4 linked regions of the Alligator mississippiensis genome follow. The protein of the gene in region 3 interacts with the protein of the main gene of each other region in a biochemical or structural test. Links are inferred from orthologs where the notes say so. Each region holds a gene or a part of one and is shown on either strand. Other genes may lie near its edges.

The links.
Region 1: the proteins of PRKCZ (region 3) and PARD6B form a complex in vitro, tested with the Homo sapiens proteins (2 studies listed by BioGRID). The link is inferred for Alligator mississippiensis from reciprocal best matches to the Homo sapiens genes PRKCZ and PARD6B.
Region 2: the proteins of PRKCZ (region 3) and YWHAZ form a complex in vitro, tested with the Homo sapiens proteins (2 studies listed by BioGRID, with this or other methods). The link is inferred for Alligator mississippiensis from reciprocal best matches to the Homo sapiens genes PRKCZ and YWHAZ.
Region 4: of the proteins of PRKCZ (region 3) and MBP, one has a biochemical effect on the other in vitro, tested with the Homo sapiens proteins (2 studies listed by BioGRID). The link is inferred for Alligator mississippiensis from reciprocal best matches to the Homo sapiens genes PRKCZ and MBP.

Annotation. Positions count from the first base shown.
Region 1 is NC_081832.1:12,816,331-12,823,203, reverse strand, and holds the start of PARD6B (partitioning defective 6 homolog beta), read left to right. Parts: upstream 1-3,865; 5' UTR 3,866-3,995; coding exon 3,996-4,061; intron 4,062-6,873. UniProt on the Homo sapiens protein: Adapter protein involved in asymmetrical cell division and cell polarization processes. Probably involved in formation of epithelial tight junctions.
Region 2 is NC_081826.1:38,282,992-38,290,372, forward strand, and holds the start of YWHAZ (14-3-3 protein zeta/delta), read left to right. Parts: upstream 1-4,360; 5' UTR 4,361-4,471; intron 4,472-6,322; 5' UTR 6,323-6,332; coding exon 6,333-6,626; intron 6,627-7,381.
Region 3 is NC_081836.1:13,357,590-13,364,535, forward strand, and holds the start of PRKCZ (protein kinase C zeta type), read left to right. Parts: upstream 1-3,939; 5' UTR 3,940-4,028; intron 4,029-4,206; exon of another isoform or gene 4,207-4,227; intron 4,228-5,502; 5' UTR 5,503-5,635; coding exon 5,636-5,706; intron 5,707-6,946. UniProt on the Homo sapiens protein: Calcium- and diacylglycerol-independent serine/threonine-protein kinase that functions in phosphatidylinositol 3-kinase (PI3K) pathway and mitogen-activated protein (MAP) kinase cascade, and is involved in NF-kappa-B activation, mitogenic signaling, cell proliferation, cell polarity, inflammatory response and maintenance of long-term potentiation (LTP).
Region 4 is NC_081826.1:110,529,074-110,535,912, reverse strand, and holds the start of MBP (myelin basic protein), read left to right. Parts: upstream 1-3,830; 5' UTR 3,831-3,968; intron 3,969-6,839. UniProt on the Homo sapiens protein: The classic group of MBP isoforms (isoform 4-isoform 14) are with PLP the most abundant protein components of the myelin membrane in the CNS. They have a role in both its formation and stabilization.

The sequences.
Region 1 (6,873 bases), on a different chromosome or scaffold from region 3:
CATCTTTCTCTTTTCCATTAAACTATCACTGATATTTTTCTTCACTTACCAAAAGTGGACAGAACTTCCATTAATATCTACATGGTCAATCCAAGATTTACCTAATCCATGCATAGATTTACCATCTACAGCCACTTCCATTCAAAATCAAGTGGTGGTGCTAGCACCCACCACTTATATAACAGCCAAGTAGCTAGAGCGCTTACTCTGGAAATGGAAGACATTGGTTCTAGGCCCTCCTCAGCTTGAGGGGGGGTCAGAACCCTATATATCTTCCTCCTAGAAGAGTGCTCTATACTAATGGTTTATAAAATCATCTGGGAAAGGGAAACTCACATGACTCCTGATGAAGCTATAAGAACTGCAAGATTCACAGAGCCAGAGAGAATGAGTAAAAGCTAGCATGACTCCCTAGCTCAGTGACAAAGGCACTGTTTTGAATGAGGGAAGAAAGGTGGGGTGGGACACCTGGGTTCTCATCCTTGTTCCAGGGCCTACTTATGTATTTTGCATTAAAGCACTACTAGATAGAAGACATTGTTAACAGCAGGGACCAGAACCCAGGTTTCCCCCTTCTCTTGGAAGCGTCCAAACAACTATGGAGTTACAGATCCTTTTGCTTATTTTTCGTACGGTAGTCCTGGGAGTTTGAGCCAAATTTAAAAATAAGAATGAATTAAATATTAATGCAAACCTTCTGCTTTCTCCTTCAGTCTGAATTTTATCCCCTGAGGAAACCTTTCGGGTACTGGGCAAGATAGATGGAATACCACTCCATTAAAAAAAACAGGAATGAATCAGATGGAAAAAAGACTTGTCATAGGGAATACAAGCTGTGTGGGGGTTCTGCTCTTAATGATGCAATGAGGGTGGGAGGCTGTCAATTACCACAAAATAATTAAGAAACCTTAAACAAAAATACCCAGCTCCCCTTTGAGTTCTGAACAGGCTGATGGACACAGAACATTATTTTCTTTGAGGGGCAGTGAATAGCTTAACTCTTAATCACATGTTTATCGAACTTGGAACTAAAATAGCCCTGCAGTTCTGCACTATGCCTGGCACAGGCAGCTTCCCCTCCCCTTACCTTTATCTGAAACCAAATTGTTCATCACATTCCTTTCTTACGCAATATCAGCTCACTGTAATGCAAGATAGCTAGTGATTAATACTTTTTATTAGGTTGGTTCCAGTGACTCGAGATGAATTTGCTCTGACTCTTGCAAGCACGAGGCCACACCCAGTTGTATGGCACTTCAACAACTCTAGGAATGTGAGACGCATTCTTAGAGGAAACCTAATAAATCTGTAATGATAACATCAGCTTCTTTACAGTTTTAAGTGCACAGAACTTCCTGGAGGGGTTTCCACCTCAGAATAAAGGTAAGTCAATTGCAATGCTAACCCTTGAAAAAGCTGTGCGCCTCTTTTGTCTCCTCCACTGGCCTCTGCATCTTCCAAGTGCCCAGGACAGCAAAGCTGGTCACTTATAAACAAGAGCAGAACTGGATAGAGACAGAGAGAAGCCACTTCTTTCTCTCAGTTTTGGCGACTGTGAAATGACAAATTAATTAGTTCATCTTTGCTGACATGGCTATAATTCCACTGATTTCCAAGTATGTCCGTGTTACAGGAGAATCCAGTGTTAGGTATGGATAAGATCAAATATGTCACTTCACTATTTTCTTTATCAAATAGAAGCAGGGATGTGTAGACTTGAACTAAGCATCTATTGATCTATAACAAAACATTTTAACACTGAACTATACCCTCTGCACTAATCAGGTCTTGTCTTGTTTGGGTGAGAGGTACAATTTCTCTGCCTCACAGTTGGCCTTTGGCCTGCTTTACACACTACATGGCACCAGTTTACCTTAAAATGTGATTTTAAAGTTATTTTGTTAAAATGGTGTAATTCTGTGTGTGGATACTCTTCTATTGGATTTAGCTTAGTTTATGTTTAAATCATTAACTGTTTACACATGAAGCCCATAAGCTCCCTGAAGAGATTGGGGATGCTGAACCTAACCTATAGGCAGTAACGGAATGGGATGACCACTGCGAAAGATCACACCTATTCCTACAGCAGTTTATACCAACACCAAGTACGTCCCCTATTGGGCACGACCTTGACAGAGAATTGTGGGGCAAGGTGAACAGCCTGATCTGGATACAGATGGTTCAAAACAACACTTTACAAGATAAGCATTCTGGATGCCCCCTGCGTGAATGTGGTGTCCGACAAATGACACAGCACTTATTTGAAAGCTGCAATCTTTACAAAAGCCCAGACAGGGCAGACGGAGTCCACACATTAAGCAATCACACCAGACCGTGGCACACAGATTTGGAAGTTGATATGATGCCATGCAAAATAGATGTTTAAATTTAAAATCTGGTGTACGATTTAAAAGTTTCACCTGCGGAACTATACTAATTATAGATGTGACCTTTTTTCCCCTCCTTTTCTAAAGGAAAAAAATCCTTTTGTATAGCTTAGTTAATTAATTTTTGAAAAAGCTCTATTCTATAAAGTGTCTCCACTAGGGGGATTTGCTAGATGATTCTAGTGGCAAACACAAATTTTAAGAGTAGACTAGCCGTGTATATCTGAGTTCAACCAATACACGAGTATGCTTTGAAAGTTCACTCAGGGTGATAAATATTGCCAAATCCAGTGACAGTCCATGTACTAAAAATGAGAAATTTAGTGAGAAACAGTAACACCTCTACAACTAGAATGAATTTTAAAAGCCTGCCAGCAGAAGCACTGTCCCGACTGGGGTCTCAGTGCTGAGATGGCAGGCAAAGTCTTTGGGTAGAGGTGATATCTTCTATTAGACCAACTAAGCAGTTGCCAAAAAGCTTGCAAATAACATTTTTGCAACTATTTAGTTGGTCTAATAAAAGATATCGCCTCTACCCAAAGACTTCACCTGCCTTTTGTGCTCAGATTGACATGGCTACTGCTCAGATCAATGCTCAAATGTCATTTGATTTGAACTGAACAGGTGCAGCCCTGTGCACAGGCATTTGCAGTTTGCCGGTCCATGAGATGCCTGGCAGGTGGGGCGGGCTGTCTCCCCCTCTGCTCCCGCAGGTGCCTGGGAGCAGCGGGTTGGCCTGTGGGAGGCAGGTGCATGTAGGTGTTCTTGCCAACTGCTAAGTTGGTCTAATATCTTTTATTAGACCGTCACCACGCTGGGGTCACTTCACCACATTTGTCTTCCTGCCTAGAGTAGGGGAGGGGGCTGGACCCAATGATCTGTAAGGTCCCTTCCAGCCCCTTCCAATCTATGAACATCACATCTACTCAAAGAACCCTGCCTGGTGCATGTAGGGTGGGGCAGCCATCATAGAGGACAGTCCGGTTGTCCTGTCGATACAAAACCGGACTCCTTTACGTCCTCTATGATGAAAAATAGAGGGCATAAAGGCATCGGGTTTCGTATCAACAGAGTAGCAGAAAAACGGAACGTCCTCTATGATGGCCACCCTAATGTAGAGGCGTGACAAGAACTGGCTCCCCACCCTGCCTGACTTGGCTGTGGGGAAGCCTGTCCTGGCTCCTAATCCCTTGGCCATAGTCCCTTGTCAGACGCACATGAGACATACCCTGCCTGCCCTGCGCCCCTTTCAGCCTAGAGACTTGAGTGCATTGGGCCCACACAACCCCACACCATATTCCCGCCCCCGCAGCACCCACCGCGCATGCGCCGGCCATGTTGGAACGTGGCCCAGCAGGTGCAGGTGCGCCGAGCCGCGTTTCCCGCCCCCTCCTCCGCCGGGCAGCGGGTGCGCATGCGCGGCCGCCGCAGGTGCGCCGAACCGCCGGCCCGTTGCGCATGCGCGGAGCGCTCCGCCCCTCCCCCCTCGGCGCGGCAGGTGCCAGGCCCGCGGGTGGCTCCTCCCCGCGCAGAGGGGCGGCCGGGCCGGAGGACGGGCTGACCGCGTCCCCCCTCCCCTCCCAGGAGGAGGCTCCGACCGCCTGCGGCATGAACCGGGCCCAGCGCGGCGTCGGGGGCAGCCGCGGCCTCGGCACCATGGAGGTGAAGAGCAAGGTGGGTCCCGCTGCTGACTCACCTGCCGGGCCCGGGGTCACTCGCGGCCCGGCCCGGCGGCGGTTGTCCGCGCGAGGGCTCCGCTCCGTGTCGCCCCGAGCTGCGGCTCTGACGTGGGAGATGAGCGGAGATTAGCGGCCGCAGGTCGGGGGGCGGCGGCGGCGGCGGCGGCCGGGGGGGGGAGCGCGCCCTGCCCTGCCCTGCCCTGCCCTGCCCTGCTTTCCTCTCCTCTGTCGGGGAATAAGGGAGTCTGGGGGCGGGAGGGGACCTCTAGTCCGAGCCCTTGCCTGAGGCAGGAACCCTGACCAGGTCCCAAGGAAAAAAGTGGGGGAGGAGAGAGACAATGATAAAAAATACCCCTTACGCTGGGGGCGACATGGACGAGGGGAGCGGTTGCCGTGCCGGCAGACCTCCCCCTGCAGGTAGAGCCGCAGCTGAATAAGTCACGGTGCAGGGCTGCGTTCGCATGCTCGATTTCTTTTTTCTTCTCTTTTCCTGGCATCGATAGCGATGTTGGTCTGAGGAACGGGTTGATTTTGTTGCTTTCCCGTGCCCCTAAGCAACAGATATATTTGAACAGCATTTTTCAGGCATCGACCAAGATTCAGTCCCGCCTAATATCTTGCTCGCTGACGGTGTTGGAACTCAGCATTGTAAAGGTGTTTATCTGTGTTATGAAAGGGTGTGTCAAGCCATATTAGCCAAATACAATTGGGTAACTTGATCTAAAAAGCACTTTTTTCCCCCCCCCTCTCAGCAAATGCGAGTGTGCCTGCACTCGGGAACTTGTTTTCTTTCATTTGTGGAAGCTGCAATGCAGGCTTGGTATAGGCATTTTTACCAGCGTGCTGTTTAGTTTGTAACAATCTGCGCCCTGCCTATTTTTACCGCTTCCATCTTTCCTGATGTTAACTGTGATCAGGGCATAGATATATTTGAAGGCTCCGTGACGTGGCGGTGTAGATAGTAAAGGTATCAGCAGCTTCTGTCATAGGTTGTACTAATAACGTGACAGTTTCAGAAAACCTGTGTAGATAAGAGTCCATTGGTGTAACAGCTCTTGGGTGATTAAAATGAAAAGTGCTATTTTAAGCATGTCTATAGATATAGTTGCTCATAACCTTTTTCCACTTCTATATTTTCATTTAATGTAATTGGAGATGCACCTTTTTTTGTTTTGTTTTGTCTAAAAATAAAAACCCCTCTTTCATCAGCCCTAATGTGTATGAATCAGCTTGGTGTTTCAGGCCACCAGTTCCCAGATACAGATGTCCTGTTTGAATGAGAACAAAACTGAATGTTATCAAAGATGTTATATGCATGCCCTTTTGGTGTTTTGGAAGAGGCGTAAGTTGCTAGTGAGTGATGAGAACATCTTAAGCTCTGTACAGATCCATATGTCAGTGGGTGTCAGGGTCTGTCACTGGATCTGCTTGTCTCTGTTGCAAGGGATGTAAAGAAGCAAAGCGTCTTGCTTAAGCACATTTTTGCAGGAATGTTTGTATTCCTTTGCTGGAAACAGAGAGATCCTCTAATGAACAGTTTTGCTGTGTCCTAATTTACACTGGAGAACTTAACCAAAATCACAACTAATGTATGTATGTGAGCAGAAGCCTGTTTCAGACCACAGCATGCACTTGCTGGCAGTACAGTTCAAGTGAGATGCTATAGAATGGATATTTTCAGAAGGATGAAGAACTTTTTAGAACCAAAGAATATTTGCAGTTGTACTTGTTTCACTGGGCACATCAAATCTCATTCTTTTGAAATGCAAAGTGATTACAGTATCAGTTGTAGAGACTTTTATCTTTGTGTATGGTAGTGGGCAACAAACCAGCATACAGGTTTCCTTGCTTTATATGGGTTCTGTATGTGCAAATTTTCTCTTATGGGATGACCCTTTTTATACCAAAAATTTGTTATATGTGAGGTCTGTTCACTCTTATGCTGCTTTGCGCAGCGCGTTGTGGGAGTGACATGCACCAAAATGTAGTCTACTGTGTGGATCTGTGCTCTTTGCTCATTGTCTGCAACACTTATTTCTGTAGTTGTCATCCCCATTATGGTAGTGCCATGTACTTGTGTGTACTGCCTGCTGTTGGCGAGTACCAAAATTGTCTTGTAAAAGTGGTAGAAATGGTCAGTACAGTTGAGGTTTTGGAACATATCCCTATTTATTGCATTGTAAAGTGGGTTCCCTTTACGTGAATTTGAGTTATGTGCCGTTTTCCAGGAACACATGTACAGCATAAAGCAAGGGAAACCTGTACTGTGAGGTTCCTCTCCCCACTCCTGCCCTCCCATCTAATATGGTGCTGAACTAGTTTCAGTGTTCTCATAAAATATGGTGTGGCTGTTTGTAGCTCATTGGATTACTGCTGCAGCAAGTTATCACATAAAGATAGCATTGGGATGCTGCAGGGCAAGAGTAGTCAGCATTAGTCTTTCTGTAGTAAAGCATGTGACTAACATTTCTCAAAAGAGTGTAATTTAGTGTAGTTCTAATCTAAAAAGGAAATAGTCAGCAATGCATCTAGCATATAGGTGGGAAGTGTACTGTGCTTTTCCCCTTGTAAAATGGGGATGCTCTGCTGTTCATGTTTTATGAAGTGCTTTAGTTCTCAATTAGCAGGTAACCCCTTTCTCTTCTGCAGCCCACCTTTTTAAGCATTTTTTCTTCTTTGAATACCCATCTTCTTAAACAACCTTGCCTTCCTTGGAGCTTTTCTCTTCCATTTTGTTGTAGTGCAGCTTATCTAATAAGAGTAAAGGAAAGTAATTTTTATGTTCAACTGCAAAAATAATATGATGT
Region 2 (7,381 bases), on a different chromosome or scaffold from region 3:
GAAAAGCTGGCCAAGAAACTGTCTTCACCTTCCACTGCAGTTGTATGGCCTTCACCTATCTAACTTGTGAGAAGACTGAGGATCTTGTCTGACTCCTTGCTCTCACGTTGAACCTATAACCTTACCCTTGTTACTTGTTCCCCAGAGTAAGTCAGGCCCTGACACTGATCCTCAGCCTGTGGGGCTGGGCCTTCAGGGATGGATGGAGCTGGCTCTGTCCATTAGGAGAGAGAGGTAGGTAGCCTGAAGTCAGGCAGAAGGCAAGGTAGATTTGCATCTCATAAACTAACTCAGAGATGTACAGTATAAGCTATGCATGTAAAGGAGGTGGCCCATGGAACAGACATGGCATACAGAGGCACATCATCCACCCCCAGTACTGCCCCTGGGTCTGGAGTTGATTCACAAAGCTCACATGGCATGCACCAGATCAGCCCTGCACCACACAGGGTGCCAGTTCTACCTGGCCTGGCACCTGCACTGCATGTGGGCCTGCCTTAGCCAGTCCAGGCCATGCAACATACATGGCACCTGCTCTGGCCAGTCTAGGACATGCACAGTGCCTACCCCAGCCAGCCTGGGACACACACGGCACACAGCACCCACTCCAGCCATTCTGGGACCTGCGCTGTACGTAGCACCCCCTGGCTACTCCAGTGTAGGCACCACAAGCAGCATGAGCCCCAGACTGGCAGGAGTTCAATAAGAACAGGTGCAAACTCCTGCACTTAGGACAGAACAAGTCAATGCACGACTACAGACTGGGGACCAACTGGCTAAGGAGCAGCTCTGCAGAACAGGACCTGGGGGTTACAGTGGACAATAAGCTGAATATGAGCCAACATTGTGCGAAGGAGGCTAACAGCATACTGGCCTGCGTTAGTAAGAGTATTGCCAGCAGATGGAGGGAAGTGATTACAGGCAGTTCTCCGACTTAGGACACAATTGGTTCCTGAAAGCCACAGCTTAAATTGAAACGTTGTAACTTGGAACCAATTTTCTCATAAGAAACAATGTTATAAATGGGGGATTGGTTCCTGAACCAAAGCTCGATACCCTATTTTCACCAAAAATACCCCAGAATTGTGTACTTGATCAACTATAGATGAGTCATATAGCTACATGAATGCATTTATATTGTAAATAGCAATCATATTGATTTGGAAGGACTTCTTTGAGGTGACTTTCCTGGACTTTTTGAAGGGCTCTCGGTTGGACTTTTTGAAGTGCTCTTGGCTGGAGTCTTCTCAGGAGTCTTGGCTCCAGGTTTTTCTGGAGTCTTGTCTGCTTTCTTAAAGAAACTGTCCAAGGCAGTTTGGACAGATGTTCTCCAGGGAGACAGATGACACAGTGAACTTGTTCGCTGGTGTGTCGTCACATCGGATCAAGCATTGTAAAATCAAAACTTACATCAGAAAGTTGAAACATGGTGTCAATTTATAAACGTTGTAAGTGTGAAACATTGTAACTTGCAATGTTGTAAGCCGAGGACTGCCTGTAGTCCACTCTATTTGGCACTGGTGAGGCCACATCTGGAGTACTGTGTCCAGTTGTGGGCCCCTTACTACAGAAAAGATGTGGACAAATTCAAGAGCAGAGGGCAACAAAAACGGTGAGGGGGCTGGGGGACATGGCTTATGAGGAGAGGCTGAGGGAACTGGGCTTATTGAGTCTAGAGAAGAAAGACGGAGGAAGCAACCACAACGAGCGGTGGCAGCAGTGGCAGCCCCAGCATGGGCTCCAGGTCCTGCTTTTCTCACCACTGCTGCTGCCACTGCTCCTCATCATGGCCAGGGTGGGCAGGTCTGGTCTGGAGCAGGTACTGCAGGGAACCTGAACCCTCACACAGGCTGGGGCCGGGGCTGGGGCCAGGGCCAAGACAGTGCACTTGGATCTGGGGCTCAGGCCCTGCCTGTGCTGGCCTCCATGGGGCCAGGGCTGCCAACAGCAGCTGGAAGGAGCCACTGCTGCCGCTGCCAAATCTGCACCCAGCCACTACCACCGAAGCCAGGCATCAGCTCCAGTCACTCCACTGGGCAGAAGGGCAGTGCTGGTGGCAGTAGTAGGGTGACCACCTGCCCCTAATTGGGCAGGACAGTCCCAGAATGGGAACCTCAAGTCCTGGTCCCAGGCTGTCCCAGATTCACAGCATCATGCAGGGATCCACAGGAAATGGCGTATTTCCCTGCAGGCTGGCAGCATTCCAGCCTGCGAGGGGCTGCTTGGGGCTGCTGGGAGCAGGATGCAGGTGGTGCCACATGCATGTGTATGCCCACACACATGGCTGGGAAATACAGCTGGGAAGCATGGAAAGCAGCTCCCTGCAGGTAAGTCAGGGAGGGTTTATGGGGAGGAGAGAAGGTATGGAGGGATGGGGTGTAGATCGAGGCCTCCGTGGTGAGGAAGCGAGTGGGATGGGGCTGGGGGCACTGCCCAGCTAGGGCAGTGCATAGAGTAGGACACAGCCACGGGCAGCTCATCCAGGGGGCACAGGGCATGGGAGGGGGGCAGCTCCCCACTGCTACATGCTGTTCTGGGGGGGGGAGAGCATGGGAGGCACGTGCCTCCCAGATGTGTGTGCAGGGCAGGGGTGGATACAGGCTGCCTGCTGTAAGCTTGTGGCTGCCTGTCCTGCTGTCCTCCCCACAGGGAGACCCCACCGCCATGGCAACACTCCCCCCAGGCAGCAGTGGGGATGGCAGAGGTGTGGAGTTGGATCCCTTGCTGCTGCTGGACAAGCAGGGGGGGTATGGCTGGCATGGGGCTCCTGAGAGGGCAGCAGGGCTGCCCGGAGCCCACAGCACACAACCTGTATCTGCCCCCCTGCTCCATTTTGCTCTGCTCTGGCTCTGCCACCAGCGAGGAGGTGGAGGGGAAGGTGGGAATGTGCCCTGCCTTTGCATTTTAAAAACATGGTCCCTCTAGGTGGTGGGGGTCTAGACACAGAGGCGACAGTCAGTGGTGGCTCCTTCTTGCTGCCATTGCTTCTGGCTCCATGGACACTAGTACAGGCTGAGCCTGAGCCCTGGGCTGAGTGTGCCACCCTGGCCACGGCGTGCCGTGTGTGGGGTTCGGGGTCCCTGCAGCGCTCTCCCTGGACCTGCCCACTCTGGCCCCAATGAACAGCAGTGGCGGCAACCATAAAATGTAAGACCTGGAGCTCGTGCCAGTGGGACCCACTGCCCTGCAGCTCCTCCCCATCACTGCTGCAGCCACCAGCGCCACCTCTGGGCCACGCCAGGCTCCTGCACTCAGTGGGGTGAAGGCGCAGGGCAGCCCTGGCACCTATACCAGCTCCCTGCCCACCTGCAGCCCCATTCCACATAGGGAGGTTTGGGGAGCAATTGTGTGTGTGTGTGGGGGGGGGGGGTGACCCAGCCCACAACAGAGTTTTAGGGAGCTATATGGCCCATGGGCCCAAATATTTGCCTACCCAGGCTAGGCTGTCCTCAGTGATGGCAGATGACAGAACAAGGAGCACCAGAGTCAAGCTGCAGCAAGGGAAGTTTAGGTTAGATATTAGGGAAAATGTCCTTACTAGGAGGGCAGTAAAGCACTGAAGCAGGTTACCCAGACAGCTGGTGAGATCTCCATCCCAGGAGGTTTTTAAGACCCAGGTAGACACCGCATTGGCTGAAATGATCTAGTTGGGAAAGCCCTGATGTGAACAGGGGGTTAAACTACGGTTCACCCTCATTTTCGATGATACCAGTGGGCGCCGTAGGCAGCTCGTGTCACACCAGCCCTGCCCGGGCACCGCATGTGGCACCGTCCCAGACAGGCTGGAGATGGCACCACAGCGGGGCACGTCCGCGGGCTGCATCGGGGCTGGCTACTGCCACGCATCCTGCCCGGGAACAGCACTCACCCAGCCCCGCGGAAAAGCCGGGCTCCCGAACTGGCTGCAAGTGGGGGCTGCGGGCCGCAACCGCACCGCCCCCTGGGGGGCCGCTCCCATCCCAGTGAGCACGGCCCCAACCCCGTGTCGGTGGCCAGGCTGCGGGGCCCTCGGGGAGGGGGGCGCAACGCGGATCCTGGGCAGGCCCCGCACGGGGTGGGGGGGGGGGCGACCCCGCCCTGCCGCAGCCCGGCCGAGCCGCCCCCCGCAGCGCAACGCAGCGCGCACCCTCGCAGCCCGCAGAGGGAGGGAGTGGGCGGGCCGGGACGGAGGTCGCTCGCGGCTGCGCGCGCCGGTGCCGGCGGCAGTTGGTGTGGCCGCTCCCCACCCCCCCCGTGGGGGCGTCGGAGGGGAGCGGGGCGGGGCGGGTACAGGCGCGCGTGCGCACGCGCTCCCTCGCTGTTGCCATGGCCCCGCTTGACGTCACGAGCAGTGCGTTGCGGCGCGGTGATTGGCGGAGCCCCCGTGTGTGGCGCTGGGAGCGAGGCTGCAGCGAGCGAGCCGCGATACAGGCACAGTCCGCGCCGCCGCCCGCCCGCACCGCGCCCGCCCGCCCCCGGCCTCCTGCCGCAGGTAACGGGCCTGCGCCCCCCCCCCCCACCGCTTCCCCTGGGGCGGCCCAGGCGGGGAGCAGCGCCCCCCACCCTCCAGCGGGCGGCTCCCCGGGTCGGGTCCAGTTGCTGAGGCGGGAGCTGCTCCGCGGCGTGGCGGGTGGGGGTTCGCTGCGCTGCGCTGCGGGGACCCGGCGGGTGGGGGCCGGGGCCGGGTGGGGGCAGGTGAGGCGAGGCAGCGCCGCGCCCTTGCCTGGCGAAGGGGGGGCTGTGGCCGGGCGGCCCCGCCCTGCAGCGGTGGGGCCGGGCCGGGGAGCGGCTTCCCGTGGGCCGGGCGGGGCGGAGGTGAGGGGGATGGAGGCGCCGGCAGGCTGAGCTGGGCGCGGCGCGGCGCCGCCATGACAAAGGAGCCGGGCGCGGCGCTTCGCCTCTCGCAACCGGGCGGATGCGGGAAGGGAAGGGCCAGGCCCGGCTCGGCTGCAGGCTCGCCCCCGCGCCGCTGCGGAGAGCGCGGCCAGCACCATTTTATGCCGGCGGGCGGGGCCGTGGCGGGGCGGTGGCAGCCCCCTCCCCCGTCAGAGCCGAGCGCCACGGGCCCTGCCCTGCCCTGCCCTGCCCTGCGCTGCCGCACGGCTCCGGGCGCAGCGGCGGCATCCGCTGCCTCCCTTGCTCCCACCCGCCCCGCGTGAAACCCGGCCCCAAAATGGCTTCTTCCCACCCTTCTCCCTGCGCGGGCAAGGCCGCGGCGCCGCGGGCTCCGCGCACCCGCCTCCGCCCAGCCCCGCAGTCGGGAAAGAGGCTCGTGAGAATCGGTAATACACGAGCCCGAGGGCAGGACTGAAGGGAGTGTGTTGCTCAGGTGGATACGAAGGTCTCGAGGAACCTCCCAGTATATTTTTAGGCTTTAAAAATAAATGAAGGCACTAGTCACTAGGGGTTGATGAAATAGGGTGGGGGGAAGGGGTCAACCTCTGATCTTTCCTGACATGAAAAAGAGTCAGGTTGGCTCCCAAGTGCTGAAAAGCCCCCCTGGGGTGCAGATCCCTAAGGAGACCTGAGGAAGGATGACTTGCTTTTAAAAGCTTGTCCAGCGTTATCCCAGCTGCCTCACTGGTGCAAGAAAAGACAGTCACCCTAAGAAATATTTTATCCCTAGGTTGTCATTTTAGCCAGCAAAAGATGTTTCTGATGTGTTAGGCTGGATTTTAGTGGGGCTGTACAGATAGAGGTAATACTAACTTTGTCCACCAAGCCTTCACTACTGAGGCTGAGGAGCACAACTTGGATGAGAAGCTCATCCCACTGATCCTCTAGGGAAAGAGTTAACATTCCTAAAAGGGCAGGATCCTTAGTGCGAATGAAACCCCTACATTCAAAGTAGTTAACAACCTTTAAAAAAAAAAAACAACCTTTAGAGCTTTATAACATGAGAGTGAAGGCTTTTCCTCCGGCCTTTTTGTTTGGCCCTCTGAGCAGCACAAAATTGCTTTCCCCAGGTCTTTAATCATTGGCATGATGAAATGGACAAACTTCAGCTTTCTCCCAAGCCACATCATGAAGAGAACTAGGACTGATTGAGGGAGAGGAAACGATCAGAATTATGTACAGCACAGAAAAGGTGTGCCTTCAGCATTCGGAAAGTTATCTCTGCAACAATAAAGACTAGAAACATCAATTAATAGTCTGAATTTTTAGAAACAAGCAAATCAAAGTCTTCAAGTCATGACAAAAAACATTGAGAAATCCTAAAAGCTGACAATCGGGAATATTACAACTTAACTACTCTAGAGAAATCTTGCTTTAGATATGAGGCTAAAAATGTCTTTGTCCTTGATAAATGTTTGAATAATGCCTTCCTATTTTTCCTTCTCAGAAAAATCAGCATGGATAAAAATGAGCTGGTGCAGAAGGCCAAACTGGCTGAGCAGGCTGAGAGATATGATGACATGGCAAGCTGCATGAAGTCTGTGACTGAGCAAGGAGCTGAGTTGTCCAATGAGGAGAGGAATCTTCTCTCTGTTGCTTACAAAAATGTTGTAGGAGCCCGTAGGTCATCTTGGAGAGTAGTCTCAAGTATTGAACAAAAAACGGAAGGTGCTGAGAAAAAGCAGCAGATGGCCCGAGAATACAGAGAGAAAATTGAGACTGAGCTAAGGGACATCTGCAATGATGTGCTGGTGAGAACTAACAAAACTGTTAAACTGTTGATTTAATATTGCAGGGTAAATGATATTAACCCCATTAAACTGACATTTAATCTAAACTGAAAATTGAGGCCTGTGATATCAAGTCTTTAATCTTTTTCTATACCAGTTAAAAAAAACAAACTAAGACAAGTGGGTGACTTTTTCCTCTTCCCCTTAATGAATTTGGTAATTAGTTCTCATGGACATCTACTAACATTGTCAAATCTTAAATATAAATAAACTCTGAAAATTCATAGGTTGCTTTATTGTAGGATGTATATTTGTGAATAAGCAAATATGGGTTCATTCACAGATAATGACTGTGTTCATAAAAGCTTTGGGCGTGGTTTCTCCAAGAACCGTGTTGTCCACAACTTAGTTCGTTTCTGGCATCTTAATATACTGTGCTGCTTGTAAGAGGTAATTCACACTATGGAAATTGTGCCCCTCCCTGGTTTAGATGATGTAATGTTAGTTATGACTCAGCCATGCAGAAAATCCTCTGCAGGAGGAGGCAGTGGCAGTACTGCTGATTCCCTCTTGCAGTTAATAGTTCTTTAGTGGTAAACTATAGTAAAGGTAGCCTGAGAGTTAAACTAGTCTTGTGGCTTACAGAACATACTGTGGCTTGTTGAATGATAATTGAAAAATGCTTGGGTTTTAAACTAATTGGGGGATGGGAGGGAGTCAAAGGGGAGGGCGGGACTTTTCAAGTATGCAATAGTACACTCCTACAAGTTCACCGT
Region 3 (6,946 bases):
CCAACAAGGGCCTCATCCTACTCGGTCAAGGAGTATTGCAGCTAACCCTCATGGCTACAGTGCCAATTGCTACCACACTTAAAGATATTCTTTGACTCTGTTTCACAGTTGTTAGGGGCTGGAAGAGATCTTACAGATCATCAGGTCCAGCCCCGCCTGCACGTGAGCAGGAAAGCCTGCTGGGATCAGACCCCAGCAAGATGGGCATCAAGTGTTGTTACCAACCTGTGGTTTTGTCACTGAACTTACTCCTTTGCATGCTCAATCACAATTCATCACATAGGAAAGGGAAAGAAAGATCTAGATTCCACAGATTTGCTGATGCTGCATTAAACAGCACTCTCATATTTGTGCTGGATCTGATCAAAGCTACTTTTCAAACACAACTCAAGTATTTCCAAAGAATATATTTTTCCAATTTTTTCTTTTCTCACAAAAGGACCAGTTCAATTTCTGGTGTGCTCTTAAATATGAAAAGAGGACATCAGGTATCAATAAAAGATACATTTTTCCAGTGGTTCCACCCACCCTACCCACCTTTTTCTTTCTAAATGTGGGATCAGGGCTTGAATCCTTTATTTCAACCTAGCACAAATTGGAATTACTGAGTTAGAAGCCTCTCAGAAATAGTGTTAGTAATAGGAATATCTGCAGATCTTTAACTTTAATTGTAGTGGGCCCTCATATAACAACTACCAATTTATTAGGCTGAAGGTAGTTTAATGGCATATGAAAAACGTAATGTTTTACAATCTGAAAAAAATCAGGTTTGGGGACATATTCAGGATTTCAGGCTTTAGGCCAACCAGAGTTGGCTGTTTTTCAAAAATAATATGCCAGGTACAATGATCTTACAATATGTAGCGCTTGCAAACCTATTACAACCTTGTTAATTAATCCATAGAGCAAAACGGACATCATATCCAAAAAGAGCCATCTGCCTACCCTTTTCCAAAGGCATGGGGAGCATCTAATAAGAAATGAATACATTTTAAAAATAGTGAGCACTTAATGAAACATTCCAAAGCAGTAACAATTGAGACATTTTTGTTAAAATTATAAAAGCTATATTAATCAATGAAAGAAACCCGTAAAGTGATACATTTATAATATCAATAGTTTGCTTTTTAAAGTCTTGTAAATATGCATGGTAGTTTTTTATGTACAAGATGTGATGGGGGAGACATTTCTCCCTGTAACAGGGAGCTGGAGGCTCCTGTTACTTTTAAGGGGAAAGGGCAGCAAACCAGGCCTACTGTGGCAGCTGAGCAAAGGCCGGCTGCTAGAAAGCAAGCAACTCAGAGGCAACAGGGATAAAAGCTGCAACTGGGAGTGCGTATCCTGGAGCTAGGCAGAAAAAGGGGCAGAACTCTAGGCAGCCGGGAGACAGTAAGGGGGAGCATGACTTGCTGTGGGGTAATGACCCAAAATTGGGTGCAAGTTTTGGTTTGAAGCAGATGCTTATGTTTCGACCAGAGATTTGGACTGTGACTATGGGAGTGGTCTGAAGGTCATAGGAGTTCTGAGTCAGGCCCAGGGCATAAGTCCCTGTAAGGAGCAGGGACCCAAGGGTGGATGAGAGAGAAAGAGCAGCATCATTTCATGCTGGGAACAGAGGTTGAGACAGGGCCAGGATTATTGCCCCTAAAGCACATTGTTCCCTAAGGCAAGGATACAGCTAGGAGTGCCACCATTTAGTGTCTGAGGTGCAAGACAACTACCAGTTGGGCGCAAGTAGTACTAGGGTTCTCGTTAAACAGCAAGCTGAAATGAACTGAGGGTCACTCTAAAACCATGGGACAGCCTTCCTAAGTGCCATAATATCCATCAAGGTATAGCAGAAAAAGGAAGGGTACTCTGAGGGGCTGGACTGGGGCAGGAGTAGTTTGCCCACTGCGGGCATCACAGTCATCCTTGGGGCTGGTGATATCACATTCCCTTCCCTTTGCCCTCCCCCCTCACCCCATCCCAGACCAGAAAAATTGTAACGCTAGCTACTTCGAAAAGTTTTACATCTAAAGATCTTCCAAACCTTAACAGGCTAAATTAATTACTTCCAAATCAGGTGGTGTGAAGGTAAATCTATATATAACTGGACATGGCGCAGTGTAGTGATATCTAAATGAGCTAGCTCAGCTAGCAAATGCAGGACAGCCATAGCAGCCTACTACTCCCTGCAAGTAAAACTAGCTTTTGTGGGCCTTGATGCGACTGTTCCCATTATCTGAACTAGCTGGAGTACCTCCACATGCCACTGCAGAACTTACTCTAAGTATCATTAGCCCAGAGAGGGAAACTGAAACAGTTTTAAGGGACAGTTTTGAAACCTTACTGGTGACTCCATTGGAGGGGTACTAATTCTTGCTTAGTAGGAATAAAGATTGTCAAATCAAGGCCTCAGTGGTTTATACCTTCTTTTGCTTCTCTCACCACTACTTGGGTGCACAGCTGGAAGTAAAGGGCCATAGCTGGAAATAAAGCTTTACATTTCTTCATTTCTACTTTAAGTTCTCTACGAGAAAGAGCAGTAGAATAAAAACCTCTTTTATCCATCTCAATTAGCAGTTATAACCCCTCAATACCTCTAGGGGAGATCAGCTTGTTTCCTTTGATGCATCTTAGATGCAGGCCATAACAAACATTTAGATAGTCCAGCAGCATCACCAGTACATATATACCATCCTTTGCTTGTTTGAGGTTTGTATTGGGTTTGTGTTTTTTAAATCATTGGTGATGTTGCTTGCTTATTTGTTTTTCTTAGTCACTTCCTCTGTCCCCACATTTTGTGTGTGTTGATCAATTGTTTTCCTCCTTTGAAAATATATTTAAAAGATTTGTTTGGTGTTTGACTTGTGTCTCCTTTTCAAAAGACAGGATGTCTAAATGAAACAAAAACAGTTGCTGAAATGGATCAGGATCCAGTCTATTGGTTTGTCCGCCCCCTGTGCTCAGATGAATAAGGACAGAAAGATATGGATTTTCTTGAAGAGGTCACGAAACTAGCGGAGATGCTAGTGAAGACGTGCTTTCTGAACTGGACTGGAAAATGGCTCGCTGAGGAACTTCTATTTTGATTGCACGTTGAGGCTTCTTTTCATTGATGAACTTATTAATTGGTTTGGAACTGTTACTTTTACTGAGGGATGCAGTGACCTCTGCTGTTCCAAGTGTGCCTGGAAATTGATTACATAAAGATATATAAAGTAGCAAATTGCCCTTTTTATTAGATATAAAGTGCAGAGAAAAGGCCTAAAATTATAAAAGAAAAATATGTGAAAGCGTAGCGCACACTTGCACAGCAGAAGGAGCTGCCACTGAACGTGCAAGGCTTACCAAGTCTCAGGGAGGAGGCGTGGGTTTCCACAGACGCCTCCTGTTGCCACAGCGATTCCGTGGGCCATAATCTGTGGCCCAAGAGGTGATGACACAAATAACACCCTGTTTTCTATCACGGGACACACTGAAGTGCTTCAGAAACTGGACTTCACTTCGCTCCCAACTCCAAGCATGCGCTCCAGACAGGGAACCGAAGTGATGTGCCTGCAGCAAAGCCATGCAGAGCTGAAAGCAGAAGCCAGGAGTCCCCAGACACCAAGGCTGCCCTCTTTTTGAGATCCTTGCCCCCAAAACCCTCCTAGAGCTGCGAGCAGGAGCCCCAGGGCCCAGCAGGCCCACGGCCCTGAGGCCATCCAGCCCCGGTTACTAAGTAGATTAGCTACGTTCCCCCATCCCCTTTTCCTATTGGCTGCAGGTGTTCGCTTGCCTCCTCCTTTTTTTTCATTGGTTGCATGGCCCCTGCCGGCCAGGTAACGGATGCGGGCTTTTGATTGGTCAGACGCGGGCGGGATCCCTCTTGGGATTGGCTCCAGGTGGGCCGGCGCTTGCTATTGGCCGGCAGGTAGCGTGGGAGGCGCTCTATTGGCTGTTGTGGGCGCTAACCTGCTGGGTCCGCCATGTTTGGAGTAGTGGCGCCGGTGCCGCCGCAGTCGCGGAGCGGGGGGCGCTGAGCCGAGCCGAGCCAAGCCGAGGTGGGAGCGGGGCGGCGCGGGGCTGCGCGGGGCAGCGGGGCTCGGCCGCCGCTGTCTCAGCCGGCCGGGCCGGGGTTGCGGGGGTCGCCCCCAACTTCCTCACGGGACTTCGGGCAACTTCCAACGCGGGGCGGGGCGGGGCGGGGCGGGGTGCGGGGCGGGCTTGCCCGGGAAGGGCCGGGAGCCGCCGCCGCAGCAGGTAGGCGGGCAGGGGCGAGAACAACTGCAGCCCCTTCCTGGATACAGGGACCCCCCCTCCCCCCCCCCCCGAAAAACAAACACCCCCGCGCTGCCCCGAAACCTTCCGTGGGCAGAAGGGCTAGGGGCCAGAATAAACCACGTGGCCCAGACTCCGGTGGGAAACAGCAGCCCCCTGTGAGACTCCAAATACACCCCTGTAACTGCCACCGCTCCCAGGGGTAGGAGCCAACTGGGGTAACGGGGTCTTCCCCAATCTGGGTGGGGCTGGTCCTGCTGGGGGTGTGAGTGTTTGGGGGGGTGGACGAGCTGTGACCTCCCGGGGTCCCTCCCACGCTCCGTGTCTGTCGTTCTGGGAAGTGTCCATCTACGTGTCCATCCCCGAGCTGCCCCAGCGTGCCTCCGATTTACCTCCCTCCCTCGCTGCAGGTGGAACTAGCCTTGGTTTCCGATACAGCAGTGTTTTTCATGTGTGCAAGCTGCTTTGGACGTGGAAAAGTGAAATGTTGTGTGACTAAGAAGAGAAAACCTAGGAAAGAGACTTGTAAATAAGGGGATCTGATCCTTGCCATTAGTCTTTTAAGAAAAGATTGTCTTTGCAGTGTGTTTTATTTGTGATTAAAGGGCTGAAAGTTTAATTAGGAAATGGTTAAAAAAAAAACCCCCAAAACGCCCTTGTCAGACACGGCTTTGTTTTGTCCATGCAGTTGCTGGATGAATGTTTTAATTGGTGGAAACAGGAATCTTTTGAGGCCTGATCTTCTGGAAACCAGAATAATCGTGTAAAATAAAATGTAACTAGCCTGATTAAGTTTTACTACCAGTAACTTATTTCATAGTCATTCCTCTGCGGGACAAAGGGCCCTATGGATGTAAACAGTCCAACTGCTTTCTCAGGTGTATTGTTTAAAGCAGCGGCTCCCAATTTTTTTTTACTGCGACCTTAAACCCAGGTCATGACCCCTGCTCTCACCGCCAACTCACTTGTGCCCGACGGCGCCAGTAGAGCCCAGGCCGGGCCAAGATTGTGGGGGGGTAGCGGTGGTGAGAGCCGTATGGACCATGTACCGAGAGAGCCCTGCAGGCAGGAGGGGCAGAGCAAGGCGTGGACCCTCTATGACCCTGGTTTACGTCTTGCCCTGAGGTTGGGAGCCACTGGTTTAAAGTGACTGGGGTTTCCAGGATTTGGCTCTGCACATGTAAATTTATGTTGTATTTCAACAATTCTTTGTGTGTGTATGTGCATTTATATGCTGCTTTTCTTTTCTGTGTGCAGATGGACAGGGTATCAGCTGGAAATTATACCTGCTCATTAGAATTCAGCACAAGATCAGTTGTCTTTTTTGAATGATTTGAAAGATTCTTCCATACACTGGCAAAATATTTTTATTTAGACTGCTATCAGTATCATGCCTAGCAGAATGGGATCAAAAATGAATCTGAACAGAGACTTCATCAGAGTAAAAACACATTATAATGGGTAAGTTGAACAGTTTTTCAGCACTACATCGCATGTGGTTTCAGTTTGCACTAACAGAATGCACTGTAGTCTTACTTGATTATAGAGTTGTAGAAATCTATGATACTACAGGTACTAACAAATCATTCCAGGTACAAAGTTTGTAGACTTTCTTGGGTGTTAAAATAAACTTAAATCAGTTGCTACTTTATTGTTTATGGTGGAGTTCTACTTCCATTTAGGCATCTAAATGGCAGTTTTCCAGCTACATAAATAATGTTTTTCACATGCAGTTCATAATTGTGTTTTCTTTTACAGTGAGTGTTTGTAGTTCTAGACTGAGAGTTGCAGTAGGTTATACTGGCCAGATGTGCTTTTTCCAGGACTTATGAATTATATCACAAGGGGCTTTCTTATGTTTTAGCCCTCATAGCTGAGTGGTAGGGGCATTTACTCCAGCTTCTTGAGACTCGTGTTCTAGACCCCATTTGCCCAGAGAAGGTTTGATCCTCCACCTTTCTTACTGCCCAGTTATACTGCTGTAACCACTATGCCACTAGGCTCTTTAATGTTCCTTTAAAAGCTGAGCCACTGCCCCTTGCTTTTAATAGTCATGAAGTAAAATGGATGGAGAGCAGTTTTATGTTGTGGGGAGGTTTCTGCCCCATTGGGAGCAAGGTGCTTCCTTCCTTGTGTCAGTAATCTGAAAGCTGAAATGCACACAAGTTTGCTTTCTTCCTCCTGGCCCCACACACATCCCCGTTGGCTGCCCAGAGGGCTAGCTTCAGAGGTATTCTAGAGAAGACACTCAGTATTATGTGCCCTTAACAGTCCAGGCACTGTGCTGGGAAGTCGGAGAGATGCAGATTCAAACCCTTGAGCTGAAACACAAAAGGGCCACCCTCCTCTTCCTTGCTTTTTCTGGGATTTATTCTCGTGTAGGCATGTGTACCCAGGAAGCATGTAGCCTACTGTGCATGTTCATTCTGCTTGTGTATCTATACTGCAGGGAAAATAAAATTGAAAAATGTGTATAAGTGGCAAAACTGTTACCTGTGTGACTGGAAAACTATTATTTAGATGCACCAAGGGAAGTGAAATGCTGTCCCTGGTCTCTAAAAACTAGTGAGAGAGAAGTTTCTGGTTTGTTCTTTTTTACTTGCTGCTGCTTGGTTTTGTTTCAAAACTGATTCAGAATGGTGTGTGTTTAGAAACAGATGTACTATATCTAGGTGTATTTGCTGATCCAGTTCAACCCTTT
Region 4 (6,839 bases), on a different chromosome or scaffold from region 3:
GGGGCTCTGGTAGTTGTACTATTGGGGTGGCAGAGGTGAAGACAGCAGTTCTTTACTGCCCCTACCATCCCTGTAAGGGAGGGGGTGCGGGGAGGGGGTGTCTGGAAATGCTGATCATGCACTGCTCACCACCTTTCTAAGCACAGAAGTGGACAGGCTGTTAACAGTTGGGCTACCCAGGGGGCAGGGAGAGCAAAACAGGGGTTTATCAACCCCTTGCTGGAGAGCTGGCCTTCATAGCTCTCCAGCCAGTGGCTTGGAACACCTGTGCATTTTTGCAGTGCTACAAAGTGCCAAGCCATTTTGTAGCACTACAACTGAACAATGGTCAATATCTTTATACATAACCATGTGAATCAGAAGCATTGCCATTGTAAGTCAGTAAAATTATCACAGGGCAAAGCTTACACGAAATCAAATTTGGCCTATGTGGTTTTCTTTGTAAGTGCAGCTTTATGTCCTTGATTTTGCATTGACAGACATTCACTGAGTGATAGTCATCAAGTCTTTCCCTCCTCCTGGCCCCTCAATTACTTTAAGATGAGAGACTATTCTTTGGTCTATAATCAGTAGCATCTCTGTGAATTTTAATTAAATCATTCTTTGAGTTTTTATGATATGTAATTAGTCATGATGAGACACATATCTGAGTTATTATTTGCCAAATAAATCTTATCACTATGGTCCTGCTGAAGAACCAGGTCAACTCTTTCTTAGTATTGTTATTACACTTTCAATTTTAGTACATTTTAGTACTTTATTTGCAAATGCCACTCTCTTTCCATTCCAATCTCTCCTTTCTTGGATTTGCACAATGGAACACTTTGTACTGGGTTGGAGTGTCTTTACTATACAGTTAATTAAGGATACTAAGCTTAGGGAACAAATAGTATTTGAAAGGCTTAATGCTATTTTTGATACTATTTTACATACAACGAGAGGAAATAAATGAGGAAATGAATCTTGCTTTGCAGACCGACCAGACACAGAACAGAGATGGCTGCTGAACACGGGTGCATTCTTTTTAGATGGAGACCTTGGAGGATTGGCAATATTGTTAGTTAAAATAATTATGTATTATAATAAGTTAAATATGATTCTGATAATATAATGGTTATTATATATTATTGTGTGATAAGACTGTAAGAGGCCTTATTACAATATGTGGACTCAGTCCTGCAAACACTCAGCTGAGATGCTTTCCTCAGGGGACTAAATCTGGGATGCTAAGGGAACTACCTATTTAGTCATTCAAGAATGAGGTCCTAAACATTTTTTTTAAATCAGTCATAAAAAAATGAAAAACACTGAAAGAAGGAGAAAGGTATCTAGGCTATAAAGTGCAAGAGAGGTACATAAGAGTGTTGTTACTGAATATGGCATGGTTTTACAACTCAGAGTGATGATAATCACCTTCAGCAAAATAAATCTCTCTTACCTGAAAGCTGGTTTATAGCATCATTCTGACTTCTCATTCCTAGGCATGTGGAACTCACTTTACATGTTTTTCCTTCTGAGGCCCTGATACAGCAAATATGCATGTTCTTCTACAACTTATCCTACAAATGACCTCACCGAGTTCAGTGAGTTTACTCAAGCACAAAATTGCACAGAAGCATGAATATTTGCAGAATTGGGACCAGATTTTATTTCCTGTGGGTTGTTTTTGAATATTGTGATTTCTGAGGCAGCAGGTTGCTGATATTTGGATCCAGTTTTGCTTAAGCCCACTTACACAACTTTTTTGTTTGTTTGTTAAAGAATCTAGAAACCTATGGAGAGTGGAGATGAGCATCCAAAATGAACATTCAATGCACTGTTACTTTTTAAAGTTGATAAACAAAGTTTGTTTGTTTTACAAAGTATAAAGTAGTAAAGAGGAAAGGATTGTTGTGGGTGATATCTTTTATTGGACCGATTGTATCTGCTTTTTCTGTGTCTGCTTTTTCCTCAGCACCCTGAGGAAGGGCACTTGGTACCCAAAACCTGTTTATATCCCTCCCAACTATATCCCTAGTTTGTCCAATAAAGATATCACCCACAAAAAACTTTACTTCTCATATTTGTCCTGGACACATGGCTACAATATCACCCTACCATAAAAAGGTAAACGCATACATAAGTTTTTGCAAGATTGTGGCCTGCCAAACCCCTTATCAACATTTTTTTATACACTCATAATATTGGAACAGGAGTCTAGTGTTGGGTTTTTTTTCCCTTTAGTCAAAGTAGTATTCTTTGGGTGCATCTACACATGCAATTAATGTGACCAATAAAACTCTGGAGCACTTCAAGCCAGAGTGAACTGCTCCTGGGCGCAGTGTCTACACATGCTCCCAGGACAGCAGCAATTTGAGCTGGGGCAAAGCAGGCCCCTGGCTGGCTGGGCTGACCCTGACAAGGGGCAATTTATACCCGCTGTCACTGTTTACATGCATTTCAGCACAGTAAAGTACACTGCCACTGTATAGTACTGTCAGGGATAGTATTATCCTACAGCAGAGTTAATTAGTTTACTGTGCCAATACTGGCACACATGTAGACTGTGGTGCTTTAGTGTGGAACTAAGTAGTCAACTCTTCAGTAAAGCACGTGTGTGGATGCACCATGCGTGATCTAAATATAAAATGCCCAGGATTTTAAACTATTAATGCTTATGACACTTCCCATTTTTTAATTCCTCCCCTACTTCCTCACAGCTCTATTGTCTGGTTCTCTGTTTTATCTTCATATTTGGTTGTAGTCTGATTAATTTTTAGCATACTCTAGGTTCCTTTTACTTGTAGTAATAAAAGGCAAAATTGTGACTCCCTTTACTCCTATTATTCACTCACAATGAGTAGTCTTGGCTTCGGTGAAAATGCGCAAGCACATATCTCATCACTGAGAGGACGGGGTTCAGTCCAATTCAGAAAGCTTTATAAAACTCCTTCTCCCCTCCCTAAACATGTGCACCTGTGTGTGTGTGCGTGCGCGCGCATGTGTATATCATAGAAGTCATGTAATTGGTAAAGGAGAATGAGTTGACCTAGTTCTTCAGCAGGACCACAGTGATAAGATGTATTTTCACAGAAGCATTAGTACTTGTTCTGTTAAACAAGATTGATAGTGATCTGTGCATGTGCGCCACTAAAAACGATGGACCTGGTGGGCTGGTCAGCTGCCCTAAGCCTCCATCTGATAAGGATAAAACCAAGAGGAAAAAAGACACCCAAAGCAGGGGAAAAAAAACCCCCAAAAAACAACCCCCCCCCAAAAAAACCACAGCCAAAGGAGTGTCACCTTGCTTTTTTTTCACAGCTGCAATTCAGAAAGAACCTCATTTGCTGCATACAGCAGAAACACATGCGAGGCGGACAGACAGGACTGCCAACCTAGAGCATGTGAAAAGGAAGTAAGGGGGGGGGTTGGCATTTAACCATTCCCAATTCAGATTTCCAAATTCTTCTCCGCCCGCACAAAGGCTGGAAGTGTAATGGGACCCTCCTGTCAGGTCTGTTCCCACGCGGGGGCAAGAAGCAGGTGCCGGGGGAACAAAACAACTCGGTGCCCGCCTGGCAAGGCATTTGCAGACTGCAAAGCAGTGAGGGGGGGCTCACCTGTTTGCGGGAGAGGTGGGAAGTCCCCTGTGGGGAGGGGAGGGGCTGCAATCCCTCAGCTATAGCAACCCCAACTCTGCCGGAGCCGGGGGGGCTCCAGCTGTGCCCCCAATCCCGCCGCCCGCGCGCGGCTGCCGCTTCCTGGTTGGGAGCGGGCGGCGGCCCCACCCTCCCGTGACACCCGCCCACGGCCGCGGGCGGACGCGCTGCAGCCGCGGGAGCAGGAAGCCGCGGCCCGGGCGCTGCTGCTGCTGCTGCCGCTGCTACCTGGGCAGCGGCGGCGCCGGGAGCCCCCTGCGCGTAGCCCGGGCGTGGCGGGACCGCGCCGCTGGATGCTGCAGGAGCCCCGAGCGAGCCCCGGCGGCCGCGGTACGGTGCGGTCTGTCTGTCTGTCAGTCTGTCCCGCCGTCGAGGCGGCCCCCCCGCCACGGCGTGTGCAAGCGTGTGTGCGTGCGTGTGTGCCAGCGCGGCCCCGGCCCCGGCCCCGGCCCCGCGCCAGCCCCCCAGGAGGCAGGTGCCGGCCCCGCGGCGGGCGAAGGACGCGGCCTTCCGGGTTCCCCGCGCTCCGCCCGCACCTGGCCGGGGCAGCGGCGCTCGGGGGCCGGGGGCGGGGTCGCTGCCAGGACTTGTCGTGGCTCTTGTCGGTGTCGCTGTTGTTCCTTGTTCAGGGCAGTTGTTGTGACAGATGCCCTGTCGTGTTTCCATCCTGGTTTCCATCGGAGTGACCAGGATGGTCACGACGCCCAGGCACTTACTGCAGAAGGTCCTCGGAATTAGGGCACGGTTGGTTCCCGAAAGCTGCGTCTTAAATGGAAACGTCGTAAGTCGGGACCGATTTTCCCGTAGGAACAATGTTATACGTTGGTGACGTGTAAGGGTGGGGCACGCAGGTGCATGTGCACCCCCTGAGCATGGCAGTGCACCCTCTGCAAAAAGTGCCGCGGATGCTGCCAGCGGCACTTGCAGGCTGTCGCTGCTCACCACCCTCCCCCCTTGCTGCCAACACCACCGGGGCATCTGCAGGCGGTTCCCGATTGCTGCTGGCTGCTGCCAAGGCTGCCAGTGGCATCTGCAGGTGCTCCTTCCTGCCACTGACATTGTTGCCACTGCCAGCAGGCAGTCGCCAGGCACCCCCAGCCTCCGGGGCATGCAGCGTTCATGGGGGGATTGGTTCCTGAACCAAGGCCTGATACCCTATTTTCACCAAAAGTAACGCAGAATTTTGTACTCTATCAATTATAGATGAGTAATATAGCTACATTAATGTATTTATATGGTACATAGCAATCATATTGATTTGGAAGGACTTCTTTGAGGTGACTTTGCCAGACTTTTTGAAGGGTTTTTGGCTGGAGTCTTCTCACAAGTCTTGACTGCAGGTTTTTCTGGAGTCTTGTCTGCTTTCTTAAAGAAAGTGCTCAAGGAAGTTTGGACAGATGTTCTCCAGGGAGATAAGCAATGCAGCAAACGCTCGCTGGTGTGGTGTGGCATCGGATGAAGCGTCGTAAAGTCGAAACTAACATCAGAAAGTCAAAACAGGGTGTCAATTTATAAACGTCCTAAGTGCCATTCATTGCAACTCGAAACTTCTTAAGCAGAGGACTGCCTGTATAGTGCTAGGACGTGGGTGTTTTAAAGAGTGATCTCTTGTGTTCAGCTATTGATGGAGCAGCAGTAGCACCTGCGTGCAGATGTAGCTACTAGCGTAGAAAAGGAAGGTGGGAAGGACCCTCAGGAGGGTGACTAGTCCACTGGTGCTCTACCTCTTTTGTACCAAGATCCAGTTGTAAACATCCATAGCCAATCCCAACCCAGTGCCCTTCATTCCCAACCTGCCGTTCCCCCGCCCCCAGTCCCCGTGCATGGGGCATAGGGGGCACAAGCAGCCCTTTGCAGGCTGGAACTCTGTCAGCCTGCAAGGGAAAAGCCCCAGTTTCCCATGTTTTTCTCCTTTAAAGGAAAATCCGTTTTTAAAGTTTGTTCGGGAACCGTTCATATATTCTTGCAACCCACTTTTAGGTCACAACCCATGGGTTGAGAAACTCTGATCTAGACCTACCCGCTGCTCCAGGCGGGACCAGCCCCAGCTAAGATCAGTACACGTCTGTATACACACATGTATGTATGCACATCTACATGCACAGTTCCATTATCTGTTTCTCTTGTTTTATCTTTATATTTGGTGTAGTTGTAGCCTGATTAAATTTTAGTGGACTCTAGGTTCCTCTTACTTGTAGTAATAAAGGGCAAAATTGTGACCCCCTTTACAAATATACACATGTTCACATGTCTAGACATGCATGTATACACACATGTATGTATCTGTGCATGCATGCACATGTATATGCGCACACACACACACACACACACACACACACACACACACACACACACACACAGAGGTGGGTCTAGAGCAGTAGTTTTCAACCTGTGGTCCATGGAGCCCTGTGGGGGGGGGGGTGGCAGACTATGTTTAGGGAGTCCACAAAAGATGTCTGTAATCAACCAAAAGGATGTACATGTTCACACTTATCATTCAGAGGGGTCTGCATCTCCATTCAAAATTTGTTAAGAGTTCACAAATGGAAAAAAAAAGGCTGAAAACCACTGCTTTAGAATTTTGAAAAGGGGGGTGCCCCCAGTGAGTGCATCATCACGCATAAAACGAGACACATTTTTCTCCAGTTAAACAGAAACTAGAAGCTTTATTGATCCACCAGGGGCCTAAGGCTGTATGATGCTGTTTAAGCTTGAAACAAAAACCAACAGAACTTAATTGGAATGAATTAAATACTATCTGCAGCTCTGTAGAGTAGAAACTTCATGACCAAGAGCAGCAAACAGACAGCACAATGGCAGAACAAAGGCTAGCTTGATTGGTGGAACATCAGGGCCATTAAAAAAGAAGGGAGGGTTCTTAACACCTGTGGAATGAAGAGTTTAGAAGGGATCAGGTACATTACAATGAGCCAGGAAGTCAAGTGACTGTTAGGACTGCCTGACTAGAAATGCTGCTGCCATTGTCAGACAGGCAGGTGGTTTTAAAGTTTGGGTGCAGCAGGAATCAAAGCGGGGTGCAAGTGCACCAGCGCAACCCATCTTTCCCTCCCCATCCACCCCTGCATATATATGTGATACACACCCACACGCCGCCATGATTCTCAACCAGGATGCGGTGGCACAGTGTAGTGCCTTGAGACCCTTTTAAAGGGTGCCTCTGGCAATATTAGGTGTGCAAAC